Styela clava: one gene and its partner. The protein of the gene in region 2 purifies or fractionates together with the protein of the main gene of each other region. This does not show direct contact. Links are inferred from orthologs where the notes say so. Each region holds a gene or a part of one and is shown on either strand. Other genes may lie near its edges. The genes, in order: neuralized-like protein 4 and drebrin-like protein B.

Evidence for each region.
Region 1: the proteins of drebrin-like protein B (region 2) and neuralized-like protein 4 purify together in Homo sapiens (co-immunoprecipitation; 4 studies listed by BioGRID and IntAct, counting the BioPlex papers as one, with this or other methods). This does not show direct contact. The link is inferred for Styela clava from reciprocal best matches to the Homo sapiens genes DBNL and NEURL4.

What each region holds. Positions count from the first base shown.
Region 1 is NC_135252.1:6,169,926-6,178,099, forward strand, and holds the start of neuralized-like protein 4, read right to left. Parts: upstream 3,264-8,174; 5' UTR 3,005-3,263; coding exon 1,990-3,004; intron 1,562-1,989; coding exon 1,423-1,561; intron 822-1,422; coding exon 625-821; intron 285-624; coding exon 1-284. UniProt on the Homo sapiens protein: Promotes CCP110 ubiquitination and proteasome-dependent degradation. By counteracting accumulation of CP110, maintains normal centriolar homeostasis and preventing formation of ectopic microtubular organizing centers.
Region 2 is NC_135250.1:12,756,530-12,764,476, reverse strand, and holds drebrin-like protein B, read left to right. Parts: upstream 1-4,831; 5' UTR 4,832-5,262; coding exon 5,263-6,870; 3' UTR 6,871-7,862; downstream 7,863-7,947. Other genes in the region: negative elongation factor E-like, read left to right, coding at 7,884-7,947. UniProt on the Homo sapiens protein: Adapter protein that binds F-actin and DNM1, and thereby plays a role in receptor-mediated endocytosis.

The DNA of each region.
Region 1 (8,174 bases), on a different chromosome or scaffold from region 2:
TTGGTCTATTCCATTCATATAAAAATGTAGATTTCCATTGGATTTTCTACAAACTCCAAGAGTGTCTCCAATAGACATATTGTCTACGTTTGTACCATAGTCATCAACAACAGTTACACCATTCACCATTACACCTGTAGCTGTCATGATCCATGTTCCAGATCGTACATTTGTCATGGTTGCTGGGAAATTCAAGGCTTCTGGTGGGTATGTCGTAATACCAATCTCCAATGAACCTGACCATTTTTCTACAACATCTTCCACTTTAACAGTAAAGGTTTCTCCTGCACGATAAAATATTAGCATTATTGCAATTAATTATATAGTAAAAATGTTTGTAAAAATGTAAATATATATAGGAATGATAAATTGGAAATAATTTTGGGTTTTACCTGATTAATAGCTAATTTTTTTTTTGATTGTTCAAATAACTGTCAAATATGATCATATCACATGAATGAGGCTAAACCAGTATATATCATTTTATAAAATGCAAGAATGCTGAAGTCAGCCTACATGGGAATTTGATATTTGAGGAATGGTTTGATCCACCATAAATTAACAAAGGGGCAACACCAAAGATGATGAAAATGAAAATCAAACTTTGTTTTCTAATGTACGCACCAGTATTCAGAGTTCTTGCACTCAGCACTACTGCATGATTAAAATCTTCCAGAGGATTTTGCCGCATGGCTGATTTCTTGCACGATGACAGTTCGATGTGCTTTCCACATGAAACATCAAACAGAAGTGGTTCACGTTCTTCAAGAAGATTAGAATCAAGCAAAATTCTGTCAACAACCGCATTGTTTCTTCGACTCCTAATAATATAACGAGGAAAAGTTTTCGTTATGGAATAAGTAAACAAAAGCTGAATGGCCTACGCCACGCCTATTTATATGGCCCATATTTTTGGATGCTTTTTCCTATTCGTAACAAGACCTGCATTTTTGACTTTGTGTCACATGATTATAAAAAGCATAAGTTCTACACTGAGTGGTGTCTAAAATACTTCTTTGTTCAACACAATCAGGATGTGGTATGCCTGATTTATGCAAGCAATATAGCAGTGTAAAATTGCTGTACAAAACATTCTGCTGGTTACTATAGCTAAATAGTTTGGCCATCAGCATCATCATTATTTTATGTTTTAGGTCATTGCGATAAACAGTTGCATACCCATGTCCTGGACAAAATAATCCATCATATCAAAAAAAGTTATTATTACTATATACCAATATATAACAGAATGAAATTGAAATTACATGGTAACTTGGCATCTGTAACTGATTTTAAAATGAATTTGAAAAGTTTATATTAGTTCATGAAATCATTACAAATTATTTAATCAACTTGTTGTGATATCTATAAAAAGGTGATCAATAAATGGGTGATAGCATTTTATCTGGATAAAGAACAAACCTTTCAAAAACAGAGTGATGTGGAACAATTGAAACACTGACTGCTCTGCCATATAAATCCACAACACCATATATATGAGGAGGTATATTGTTTGCTGCAACACCTTGGTCTACTCCATTGATGAAAAAGTGTAAAGTACCTAAAATATAGAAATAAATATATTTAGTAGCAGTATATATAGTTGATGCACCTAGTCCAGCTAACCACAAATCCTGCTTTATGAAATAATATACCAAAACTCATGATTACTCAACCAGTCATAGTTACACCTTACACGTAAAACTGCAATATGTTCAACATAATTTGTTCAAATTGGCAAAATGTATAAGAGGTAATTAAAATTTATTTTTCTCAACGATTGAAGTTTCATATATAATCAAGAATTGCACTTTCTTGTTTGGATTCTGGTTATTAATACAGTAATAGTTGAATATATTGAAAATTCTGTCATGTTGAGTGGTAACTAATATTGTTTTTTGATTTGACGATCAATAAATTCCTTCCTCTCTGTAACTACATATAATGTTTATCAAACCCAATTGAATAATATTGCTAGTCACTTCTTACCTTCCTCTTTCCTCATTAGACCGATATGATCTCCAACTTTTAATTCGTCCAAATGAAAATCTAGATAGTGTTTTCTGCTACCTTTACCATTTGTAATGATCCCACAGCCACTCAACATTACTGTACCAGACCGAAGATTTGTCATCGTGCTCGGGATCTCCAGCAAATCAGGAGCATGTGTAGTAACACCCATTTCAATAGAGCCAGACCATTTGTCTGTCAAGGCGTTGAGTTTTATTTCAAATAATTCATCATTTTTCAATGTTCGATTTGTCATAACGACACCGTTATTAAACTCATCTTGATGATGGGAGCGGACCGCAGTCATACCACCTTCCAGTAGTTGTATTAAAGAACCACATTTTGCATAAAATACTAATGATTCTCCATCCAAAAAGCAAGACTGATGTTGCAACATTTTACTTCTATTTCTTCTGTCAAATAAAACTTCTGAAAATGTTAATGAATCTTGCAGATTTGAAACTTGTGGTAAAGAGACTGTTGAATCGGAGACTATTGTTACACCAGCACATTTTCCATACAAATTAACCATAGCCCAAACGGATTCATATATGCACACAGCAGCAACACCTTGATCAGCTCCATTTATATACAAATGAACTTGGTTATTATCATTTCTCATGATACCTACAGTATCTCCAATGTCTAAAGAATCCAAGTCCTGACAATAATCATCAATTGTTGCCACACCATCTATATTCACCGAAGTTCCGGATATAAACCAACTGCCATGTCGAATTGCAATCGCCCCCTTTGGAATAACTAATTTTGATGGATCTGTTGCAACCAGCCCAATTTCAATAGAACCACTCCATGAAGCGATTTTTTTGTCTATGCATATGGTAAACAGTTCATTTGCTTTCAATGGATTTTCAGAAAATATCATTCCATCATTGAATTCCTCTTTGGCATGCTTCCTTCCAGCACTTGTGTAGTGTTTCGATAGTTCAACCAGTCGACCTGTTCGTCTGTGAAACTTTTGTGCATTTGTCATTTTAAATTTGAAAAACAATTACTCTTTGTTGTTTTCAATTCTTCTGTGCAGTGGTATATTGCACTGGGTTAATTATAAAGTTGAATTTATTTCTTGTTGGCTCATATGCTTCATGTTTCATATGTTGTATGTATTTATCAAGTACTGAGGTAATTGGTATTTAATTTTAAATATCCAACAGTTGCATTATAGGCACAGACAATCCATTGGCATGGATTGTATGTCAGTAAGTAGCTAAAATTTGAACAGGAAAGATGTTGAAAATTGCAATATCTGAATATTGACTAAGCGGTCTAGTATAGTTTAGGGGTCTGGTACCGGTATAGTTTAGTTCCACATGCACTTCTAGTTGGCCTGGCTCAACAACTTTTGCATATGTCAATCCTAACCCCCACCTGACTACGTCACCGAAAAATTACGTCATTTCGACGTCACGGTGGCGTAATAAGGCCCACCAAAGTATCCGGATGGTCGTCCAAAACGCGCAGACGATCACCCGAAATCGAACAAGCTATTTTTCTCGTCACGACGATAACGGTAGGAGAGAGATCGCCAGCTTTAGCGAGTTCGTTTTCGGCGGCGTAGATGCCATTTCGCAAGTGCAGTTTTAAGTATTCTATGGCGTCTGCAGCTGCCGCAAAACCATGGCGGTATTTCCATACCATGGCCGCTACGGCCAAACCTATGGCGACTGAATTTTTAGCTGCCACAAACCAATGTCGAGCTGCCGTTACCGCGGCAGCAAATTGAAAACCAATGGCAGGTAAAATTTTGCTGCCTTAACCGCGGCAGGTGGGCCGTAAGGACAGGGCTGTCCCTTAGGGTGACAAATATTGGGTAAGTTGGAACGTTTTTCTTATGGATACAGTCTTGATGGATTTGGGGTTAGGGTTAGGGTTTAAGTAGATATAATTCCCCATGATCAATTAGAATTTGGTACATTAGTTTGTGAATATACCGTTAATACTGATTACTGAATACAGAATAGCGCTATAAAACCATGGCAAGAGCTGCCGCGGTTCGTTCGTGGCAGGAGCTGCCATAAAGTGGTAAGAACTGCGCCTCCCATTTCGGGCGATCGTAATTATACTTTGGCAAGCCCTATGACGTGGTGAAGTCGTAGTGACGTAATTTTTGGATGACATAGTCAGGTGGGGGTTATGAATAACATATGCAAAATTCGTTACGGTAAAATCGAGTAACTTCGGGTGCCTTGTAACTTCGAATGAAATTTTCAATCGTTTATATCTCGACTAAATAGCGTCATATTGTGCTTCTAGCAGTTTCTTTAGTGAGTCCTTATATATCTCAATCTGTTATCATATTCAATCGCGCAGTTTAATCCACTTTTTGATTAAGAATCTCGTTTTAGCATAAAATTGACACTCAGTTTTCGAGCGGTTCAAATCGTGACTTCTACCGATGCTAACTTCGTCAAAATACCGTCATTCGACAGAGGACGTTATCAATGTATATAAAAAATTAGACTGATCGCGAGATGTCGCTGATACTCGAGACACAAATAAAATCCAAATATTTTTTTTATATCAAAATAATGGCATCTAACGCACACGTTGAACTGACGTCACCCTGACGTCGCTCACTTCCAAGGAAACGTCATGTTGCGTCGCCGTTACAGATTTGACGCCAGACATTCGGGCGCCGACGAGTAGGCTTAGAATTGAAAATAACAGCGATATTTTGTTCGATTGGAGCAATATCGGCTAAAATATACACATCAACAGTTTTCTGTGGATCTCAAATTCATGGCGTCAAATGCTGGAAATGTAATTTAATTAAGTTTATTAAAATTGGAAATTAACGAAAAACATTTTCGTTCGATTTGACGATTCAAATTCCTCCATATGGAACGGCAGCATGGTTTAAAATAGAAAAATTGTAAGCAGTCAAGAAATGCTGCGCAAATATAAAATCAGCGATAAATAACAAAAATCATTGTTGCAAGTGAGACTTCCGTTTAATAAATTTAACGTAGTATATATTTACGATTTAACTAAAGTAATTTAAATTAAAGTTGCCAAATCGGTGTTTTGTCCTGATTTATGCACGACCGACATTTTAATAGGTCAGTTTAATAGAGAATTCGGTCATATGCATGCTCAATAATATTTATTGTTTAAAAAAGGAATGTAACCGCTTTTCTTGTTATAGTTGAACCGTAAATATATAACTATGTATGTCTGAAGAAGTCTGACCTTGGTCAGACGAAACGTTACAGAAATATATTTGTGTTAGTGCGCAGCAAGACTCTTGAATCACTTAAGACTAATTTTAATGTTTGCACTTAAACATTGAAATTTCATTTAAAGAGGGTGTGATACAAAACAGCAAAACTGTTTATACTTCTCTTAACGGTGCTGTGATACAATTCCATAACACAAAGTTTGCACCCATCGAACTTGCTTTAGTAGGTGAATTTATTAGACATATTACATATTCAGTTTATCTTAGGTAACATTGATGGTACATATTGCCTCGTAGATAGGTTTGCGTCTAAATTTAGGAATTTAGCTCATAGCCCACTAATTAATATTATCTTCTATGTAGGAGGTTGCAGGGCTGAAATCAACTTGCAGCCTTACCGATCACCTGATGATGCTCATTTACTTTGGCTCGAGCAAGTCTTCTTGAAAGACTTCACCGATTTAAAGATGTCAAAATGATGGATATCAATAAACCAGTTGAAAACCAACACACAATATTACAAATTTACTTCCGATACGCGGTTTAAATGAATAACCTGAAACTAGTATTCTTTAGAACAGCATACAAATTCTATGGGATGAAATCATACACAAAAGCTCGTCAAAAACCTATAGATCAATAGACAAGTGGAATTTGATGCATGTGCGCAAAAATGTGCGCGTTACCCCATGCAACCGAAGCACTCAGGAAAATATATGTGATGTGCTAGTGATCAAAATGTTTGACTCAACTATGTTGGCATAAAAGGTGCACATCTCGGTTTCGCATACGCATATCCTCTATTTCCACAAGAATATATTAATTTGGCCGAAGTCAATGCTGAACCTGAAAGGTTCCGGTTCTTCCAAAAGAAAACACGTTACACATCATTAGATACCAGTGGATGGTTTTACATGGCCTAGTTCGGAGCGAAAGACGAGGTCAAATATTGCAATCCATTTCAACTAATAAACGATTTCACAAGTCCCGAAACTTTAAGCAGGAAAACGAAACGCCCGCGGCAACACAAATGTAGTTTGAAGAGTGCAAAAAAAGTGGCTAGATGCTGTCGATAGATCTTGGCTTCTATTAGTGAAATGAACTACCATTTATTGTACTAAAATTGAATTTCTGACACTGTGAGGAGATTCAATGTTACTATGTCTTCAGAACTAACCCATGTAGTTATGAAATAATTGTTTTTAACAAAAAGGTGCTCTCGAAGTATTGGTACCAAGATGGCACACAACCTGAACATTGTATGTTTACCAGGTTAAGGTTCAGGATACGCGTCATCTTGGTACGAATATTTCCGGAGCGCCCCGAAATCCACTTAGGAAAAATTGCTCAACATTATATACTCCACACCCACCTGGGTATCTTTATTTATGTCATCGACATTATATCTAAACAATAAAAAAAACTTTATGTCTCAAAACGAGGTTCGCCCCCGATTCTGTGGGACGGTGTCGTGCCGATGGTGTCCTGGATTTTTGGAGCAGCACAACTTGTCTACACGCCGACAAACGACAATTTATGAAAATTCGCCCAAGGACTATGAAATTCACCCGGAACGGGGATCATCTGAAGAATTATTATCACCACTCAAGAAAAGTGGTGGGTAGAGGAAAGTATTACTATAGATTCGTTGATTGATATGGAAAAGACGGCCTGCCACGTATGCGACGCGAACGGTCTATGCTGATGGTGGCCTTTCGCTGTCGCTGTTCGCTTCAAATTTTAAATTCATTTTCAGTGTTGGTATTTTAGCACAATTTTGTTGACTAAGTGGTACTTTCAGAAATTGTTTCAACAGAATATGGTGTTACCTTCGATTCATCAGAGTCTAATGCATGGTAGTGCAGATATCGAGGTCCCAACAGTTGCCAATGAGGTGAACATATTTCTTTAGTTCCAAAGTACTTTCTGACTGTTCAAGCCTCCTTACTTGGGGGAACGAGCAAAAAGCGGGTTATATGAGTAAGTTGTTTGGCAAGTATATGTGTGTGACGGAAACATCAACTCCAAGTGAGCAATTATTTTCTGCAGCTGAAAATACTGCCACTGAGCTCGCTTAGATCAAGCCTCACCGCATCACATATGGAGGCTATTGTATTTTCAAAATGCAGTCTTAGTATATGACTCTTTTTCGAGTGAGTTACTTGTGAAATATGTTTTTTATTGTGTGTGGCAACCCAGCAATGTGACTGAGTGATGTGTCTTAGGTTTTCAGTAATTTATGTGTCAGGAGGATCCGATACAACGAAAACGTCACACACAATCATTATGTATTCGTAAAGGCCCACATTAGTTATAATGTCAGACACGACACAGAGACATTTGGATAACATTAATAGAATACGTTTAGTTTTACATAACACCGCCCTTGACTGACAGTACACATCTTGTGTATAGCTGCCGTACAACCAAACCATTCAACTGGTGATTAAGACCATATAACCAAATACCACGTCCTGTAGCTTCAAAAGTTTTTAACAAAACATAACTTCAATTTATATTAGAAAAAAATACAGTACAATACAAAGCAATCTAAATGTTGCCAAACAAAAAACAAATCGGAAGAAGGTAAAAACGAGAGTAAATGCAAGTTTATGCTATGGGGACAAATTCCCTCGAGCGGCATCGCTAATATGGACAAGCCGGCAGTGTCCCTTCTGTATACTGAGATATTTTATTAGATCGAATGTCTCTGCACAGTAGGTAGCTGACAACATTGAATTTTTGGCTCCGAACTATGATATGGACAAGCACCTCCTCAAAAGAATGTTATGTTTATCCGAAATAGGCTCTTTGCAAGCAACTATTCAAAAGCTTGAAAAGTTTACTCTGTACTCTGTACACGATACGGCACGAAAGTATGGCGATTTCAATTATCTGCGCTCACATATTAAAAAAACACCACGATAGTCTTGAGTGCCTGCTCCTGTACATAGCCTACTTCAGG
Region 2 (7,947 bases):
AAAGAGAAAAATATATATTTTATCAATTGTTCAGCAAATTTAGTTGACATACAATTCCTTTTTAAATTTGTTTCGTCCACATTGTTCATAAAATTAAAGAATATACTCTATGTTTGGTATTATATATGGCAAAGTCAAAACGTGCTGCTACTGTTCTGACATAATAAAATTGAATCTATAAGGTATGTGCTTTTCTCTGAATGTGTCGTGATGCTGCCTTTATTGGCGGTTTTTGAGAAATCACCACTCCAAAAACGATAATTTTCGAAATTCTCAAACTAATTCACGAGAATGCGCAAATTTTTTTTTATTATTACTTTATACTTTCTGAAACTTATTCTAAGTTGAATAGACGTACAGTATTGATGAGCGACAAAAAAAAAAAGATATTTGATCAATTATCCTGCAACTTTAGTTCAAATACAAACCCTTTTTTAATATGTTACGTACCGTTGTTTAAAAAATTGAAGAATATACGCTATGTTTGGTATTATATATGGCCAAGTCAAAACGTGATGCTACTGTTCTGGCATAATAAAATCGAATCTATAATATATGTGCTTTTATCCGAATATGTCGTAGTGCTGCCTTTATTGGTGGTTTTCAAAAAATCGCCATTTTAAAAACGATAATTTTTTGTAATCCAGGACAGAATCCACTAGAAGTCGCAATTGTTTTTTTGCTGTTTTATACTTCCCGCAGCGTATTCCAAGTTTAATAGATGTACGGTATTAATGTGTGACAAAGAGAAAATGATATTTAATCAATTATCTAGCAAATTTAGTTGAAATACAAAATAAATTTTAAATTTGTTACGTCCATGCCGTTTGTAAAATTTAGATTACACGATATGTTTGGTAATATATATGGTCAAGCCAAGACGTGCTGCTACTGTTCTGTTATAGAAAAATCGAATTTATAGGATATCTGCTTTTTTCTAAATGTGTCGTGGTGCTGTCTTTATTGGCGGTTTTCAGGGAATCGAGGTTCCGAAAAGGATAATTTTTCGAAACTTCGTATTTGCGGAATACCTGAAAATTCATTTTTCGCTGAGTTAGTCTTTTTTTAAACACTATTTTCTTGGTAAATTCAATGTATTCATTCAGTTTGAAGATTTTTCATGTATTTCCGTGCTAAAATTATATTTTGATCAGCCTTTTCAGTTTCATATGTAACTATAAGTGAAATTTATATGCGCGTGGAACCTATATTCAATGTGTAAAAATATTCTGGCTGAAAGTTCTGCTAGCTTCACAGAGGTGTTGCGTAGTCATCAATGGTGACAAAGTGGATATTTATCAACCTCTGACCCCAAAAAAATTACTCAAAGTGTTTTCGCAAGTTGGCGTTTATAAAATCTGAAAATGGATTCTTTTTTTGAAATCATCGGTTTGCTGAAAAATGTCAAATAAACTGCCCATAAAGATATAAAGACGGTTAAAGATATTGGAAATGTGGGTCATTTTTGCCAATGCCGATATCCTAAAAATATTGCCGATATTGTTCGTTACATAAGATTAAGTACATGCTAATAGAAACTTGACAGTCAGTGCAAAGTGAACACTCAAAAAACGTTTGGAAATTTTGCCACTCGGTGGTGTAAAGTAAACGACGAAGCAAAAAAAGCTTCTCGATATCTTGTTGTCACACATTGCATATAAAGCGGATCATAGAAAACAAATACCAAGTTACACTCATATTATAGTATTTTTAACGGGATTTCATAATAGTACACAATTTTGATTGCTCCAGCCCACTCATGCAGTCATGATCCATTTAATGTGTTGTGCGTCCACATTCAGGAAATGCATGGTGGTTTGGGAAGCTATTGATCTGATACATGTAAACCGTTTGCTATGGATTCAGAGATGTAGTACAGGTACGCAGTTTTCGAATTCGAGCATAACATGGTGTAGGCCTATTTCAATTTTGGTATAAATTAATCTGCATGAATGGCTTTGAAAGTCCCTTTCGGAAATTATTAATAAATGCCAGATTGAACTTCAAACATATTCAATCCTAAATTTTCCAGAATCCCTTCTTTAAACTGATATTTGTTATTGTGGATCTTTTCATTTTACCCATTGTAATCACATAGGCCTACAACATGGCCCATCTTGTTGTACATGATATATATATTTCACAAAAACAATAATTAAACTACTTCCGTGCAAATTTTGGATACATTGTTGATCGTATTCCTTTTTGATATTTTGAAAATAATGGTTTACGCATCTGGGTCTGACTTTGTCACGTCGTCTTTTTTCCATAATATGTATAGTATATTATACTCCTCGGTGATAGCGATGTAAATAGAACGGCAATCCAGAATACACATTAACATATAAAGCTTGAAAACAATGTCAACGATCAACTAAAGTACTAAACCATCAACAACTTGGTGACCGTACATTTCAACCCATGTGTATATCCGCGGGTTCAATCTATGCGGATGCTAAAACCCATGGGTTGGGGTTAGTATGGGTTCAAATATCCGCAAAACAGAAAAAAATCCATAGGTGCAATAGTATGCAGGTGCAATTGTCGTGGGTTCAAATGTACGGTAACCCAACAACTTTATAGAGTGTGTGTTTATTACTCCCGTGGTTTATTTTCGGGGGATGTCTTATAATTTCATTTATCAAAAACAAAATTAGAAAGTACAGAAATAGGGGATTTTAAAATATTAAAACCGATATCCATTTATTTAATTGACACGTTTTCCTCTCTCACACGTTTTAGAATAATCATTTCAAACGTATGGGAGAGATTTCTTGCTATCGACCAGATAAAAAAAAATTCGCGTTATTGACTAGTAGCCTAAATCTTATATATTTGCTGGCCGTGATACCAAGATCATTACGTTGGATGTATCGGGACGAACTGCAGTGACTAAATAATAAAGATGTAATTTTTGAAATTCATTTACTGTACCATAAAAACCAATTGTAAAAAGCTTCAGGGCGCTAACTGCAATGCCAATCACAGTTGTAGAGAGTTATGATTATCGGTATATATACTTCATTTTCTTGCAAAGCATGTTTGAGGAGGTCGTTACAGGGTTGTTCACGAGATTTCTTTCTTTGCCCTCCAGGCCGTGTACGTGACAAATCAAAATCTTGGTCCCTGACATCATGTTGACACTTTACATGTATGGTCAATCATAGCAAATAACAGTCCCATCATGATATTTCTAACGGAATTTTAAAATAGTACACAATCGTTTTGATTACTTCAGCCCACTCATGTTGTAGTCTTGATTCGTTCATGCTCTATTCAGGAAGTGCATGGTGGGTTGGGAAGTCATTGGTCTGATATATATGAACACGTCTATATTGTGCATTGCCAGTTTAAAATGGATTTTGGTATGTGGTGGCTAGTAAGGGTACATAGTACACTAAATTACACATAACGCGTTGAATTTCAGATTTATTATAAATTGACCTGCATGAATAAATTTACCAGTAACTTCATTTGCGAATTTCGTTAATTGTTCATAAGTGTCAAATTTTGAACATCTATCAGGAATTCCTCAGGCTTATTGGTTCAAACAATAAACTTGTGCTTGTGAAACTTCATTTTTATACTTTTATTCATCATAATTAGTTGTAACATCTCGCATCCTTTTTTACACACACGCTTTACAAAGAACAAGTGCGATAATAATTAAATTAATCTTGTTCAGTAATGGCGTCGGCTGTGCTCAGGTGGCTAGATGGTTTATAATCTGGGAAATAGATACCCTTATTGTACCCGTAACTGGTGAACGAGAAGTCTGTAAGGTACCGATATAATAGTATATTGACTTATGGAGTAAAAATTGCTGTTGTCAAGTGTGCTTTCAGTATGGTGAGAAAATAAACTACTGATTACTGATTCCAAAACACTAACTTAGCTCTAAAATGTGGCCGAATTTCACAAGCGCCTGAGCGTACGTAGGGTTTGAGTCTGAGATGCCGTGATAAATATTGGTGCCGGTAATACAATATAATACCGTGATAAATATCGGTGCCGGTAATACAGTGATATATCAGTATATATAATATAATACCGTAATAAATATCGGGACCGGTAATACAATATCGTTTTATTATTGAAGAAACAGGATTGCTTTAGTCCGATGGTCAATATACATTCCCCGCCCGACTTCTGGACTTTGATTGTGTAAATGTGTAGTTGTGTGTTGCGATTTTTGTACCGGTACGGTTACTACGACGGGGTTCAAAATAAACCTCATCATCTATCAATGCAACTAATATTACAGCAGTACTGTATTCGCGGTACTGAATCAACCAGTTTAATCCTAGTGTCTTGAGTGTTGGGAAAATGGTGAGATGTATGCTGGGATAAGAAGCCCTAATACTGTAATATTAGGGTGACCATAACACAGTAACAGGTAGTCAGGTACCGGTATAGGGTCTGGTATAGTTTAGTACCACATCCACTTCTAGTTGGCCTGGCTCAACACTTTTTGCATATGTCAATCCTAACCCCCACCTGACTACTTCACCGAAAAATTACGTCCTACCGGTTTCACAGTGGCGTAATACTGTAGTAAGGCCCACCGATATATGCGGATGGTCGTCCAAAACGCGCAGACGATAACCCGAAATCGAGCAAGCTATTTCTCTCGTTTTCTCATCGCAACGATCACGATAGGAGAGAGATTGCCGGCTTTAGCAAGTTCTTATCGGTGGCGCAGATGCCATTTCGGGCGATCGTAATTATACTTTGGCAATCCCTATGACGTGATGGTGACGTCGTAGTGACGTAATTTTTGGATGGCATAGTCAGGTGAGGGTTCATATGTTATTCCTCGTTAAAATCGTTATGCTACGCCCACTGGAAGTACTTGTGGTACTAAACTATACTAGACCCCCGGTATATACTGATTTGGATTTTCTCATTAACTGCATAAAAAGTTTTGACTCATTTCAAGTACTGACACTTCTGCACTTGCTGTGACTATGGCACCAACAAAGTCTTGTATCAGACACACACCAGCCCAATGCTGCGATGTCTGAATCCTAGAATCTCATATGGCTGTTTTGATTAAGCTTTTATTTTGCCTCTTCACACATTCTACTTCGATAATATAACATGTTGTATCGAGTGATAAATAAATTCTAATATAACATTCAATATCAAAAATAGTGCAGTAGCGTGACTGGATTTCAGCTTTGAATTTGGATTGTATATAATATATATATGTGTACCAAAAATTAGTGTTGCTTTGTGATTTCATCCAGCTGTTTATTAAAAATGAGTGTCAGTTTTTTTAAACACAAACAGGCGTTAATCAATACCTACAAAGAGGTTCTTGATGAAAAATCGGACACAGATTGGGCTCTTTTCACGTATGAAGGTAAAGATAATGAATTGAAGGTGGCAGGTACTGGAGAAGATGGCTTGGAAGAATTAGAAACTGAATTTAATAGTTCCAAGATCATGTATGCTTTTATTCGAGTTAAAGATCCAAAAACTTCTCTCAACAAGTTCATATTTTTGCATTGGCAAGGTGAAGGTGCTCCTGCAAATAGGAAAGGTGCTTGTGCCAACCATGTTAGGGATGTGGAAAGATTTTTTAAAGGAGCTCACATTACTATCAATGCTCGAAACGAGGATGATGTTACCCCAGAGCAAATCATGGAGCATATTAATCGTGCATCCGCGTCTACATATGCATTTGACAAGACAAAAGGTTCATATGATGATCCATCTGAGCCTGTTGGGTCAGTATATAAAAAGATAAATCCTGGTGCAGAAATAAGTTCCAAAAGAAATGAGAATTATTGGGAAAAGCAAGAAAGGGAAGAAGAGCAAAGGAAAAAACAAGAATTGAGAAAGGCGCAAGAAGAGAAAAATAGATATGCTCAAGAAGTTCGCGAAAGGGAAAAAGAGTCAAGCATGAGAAGACAAAATTGGGAAAAAGAAAGAGAAAAAGAAATTAGTGAGAAAGTAAGAGCTGCAAAACTTACTGACGACACTGCTGATGTTCGTAAAAGAGAGAAAGAAAAATGGGAAGCAGAACAACGTGAATTTGAAGCACATGAAGAACGGGGAAGAAAAAGAAGTGAATCTATAGAGAAAGCAGCTGAAGCAGCGCATCTTGTGCAACAACGAGACACTAATATGCGTGCTTTATGGGAACAAAAAATAAATGAAGCGACTCCTTCAAGTCAACCTGTTATTCAAAGGCAGCCCTCGAAACAAGGCGAAAGACCAATTGAAACATATCAACCGGCTGATGTTGAAGAACCAGAATATGAAACATTCGAAGAAGAAACTCGGAATAACGATAACAATATTGTGGACAATAAGCAGGAACCCACAAAATATGATGCGGAAGCAAATAAGAGTGGATATTCAGCAAGAGCTATTTATGATTATCAAGCTGTTGATGAGACCGAGATCAGTTTTGATCCCAATGATATTATCACTGATATTGAAGATATGGACGAGGCATGGGGAAGAGGTGTGGCCCCTGATGGACACTCTGGACTTTTTCCTCTCAATTATGTCGAGCGTTTGGAATCTGCTCCAAAAGCAGCAGAAGGTCATAAAACTTCCGATAATGTTTATGATGCAGTGGGCCATAATCAACAGGACGAAGGTCAAGGGGCACAAGATAATATATATGATGCAGTAGGAGAAAATCCTGGGGAAAGTAATGATGAAGATATTAAAAGTCCACATTCAGCAAGAGCTCTTTATGATTATCAAGCTGCTGATGATTCCGAAATTACTTTTGATCCAGACGATATCATCACTAACATTGAAATGATTGATGAAGGATGGTGGAGAGGTTCAACACCAGATGGAAAGTATGGACTTTTTCCAGCTAATTATGTGGAGCTTATTACAGAGTAAATTACTGCAATTGCCAAAGAATATATTCTTTATTGTGATGCTGCCTAAGTTATAACATGCCTTTATAGGACCAATCCAATCACCAAGTGTTTTTTTGACATTGAGTATTGTGAAAACATACTAATGCATCTTGAAAGTGAAATATTTGTAAATAAGCATGAGTCACAATAATATATCCACGCAAGATTATATTATACTAAGACATGAACACCAACTAGCGGGCTACACATGTTCTTGCTATTTTGCTTCTCAATGTTAACAATCACTTTACTTAGGCGAGATAGTTGCATCATTTATTAATAAATAACTATGGCTGTATCAAAGCTCGGTTGGCTAATTCAATCTAGTTTTAATTATATATTTTACCTGAATGTCATATAAACTATAATGGTATTATTATCTGTTATAAACAATGTTACCTGCGCCTAATTATTTTTCTAATGCAGTTTTTGACATCTGGCTGTCTTTGTTATTGTTGTATCCAATTATAAAACACTATTATTTCATAGTTGTTTTAATCGAAAATCAAAAATAGACTTGAACTTCATTCTTTTTTTGATTACAGTTTTTTCAAATCCTGTCAGACAATGTTTGCTTGTAATATATCTATTTTTTTTTTCAATCAAAAAACATTCAGTATATAACAATATGCTTCTACAATTTTTAATTTGTTTCTGTCCTCCATTAGAATAATTAATTGTTGGCTATATTTTAGGCAGATAAGATCATGATTTATGTCATACTTTACTCGGTCAATATTCTTATTTCATGCAAATTGAATCCAAGGTCATATCATTTGATTGTGAGCTTACCTAATGAATATCATTTGTATTGAAACTGATATAAGATGATATCAAGTTATATATATTTGCTTTTGTAATCCTCACTCAACGTATTCCAATAGGGAAAGCAATTTCCCTCATTTGTGTCTTTACCAAACTGCATTTAGTTTATACATATATTCAAATGTAACGATTATGTCTTAATTTAGATCTTAAAATAAAGACTTCATTATGACATTTTCTTCAAAGCTAACGGATGAAGAAGAATTTTTAAAGAAAAAATATACTGTACTAC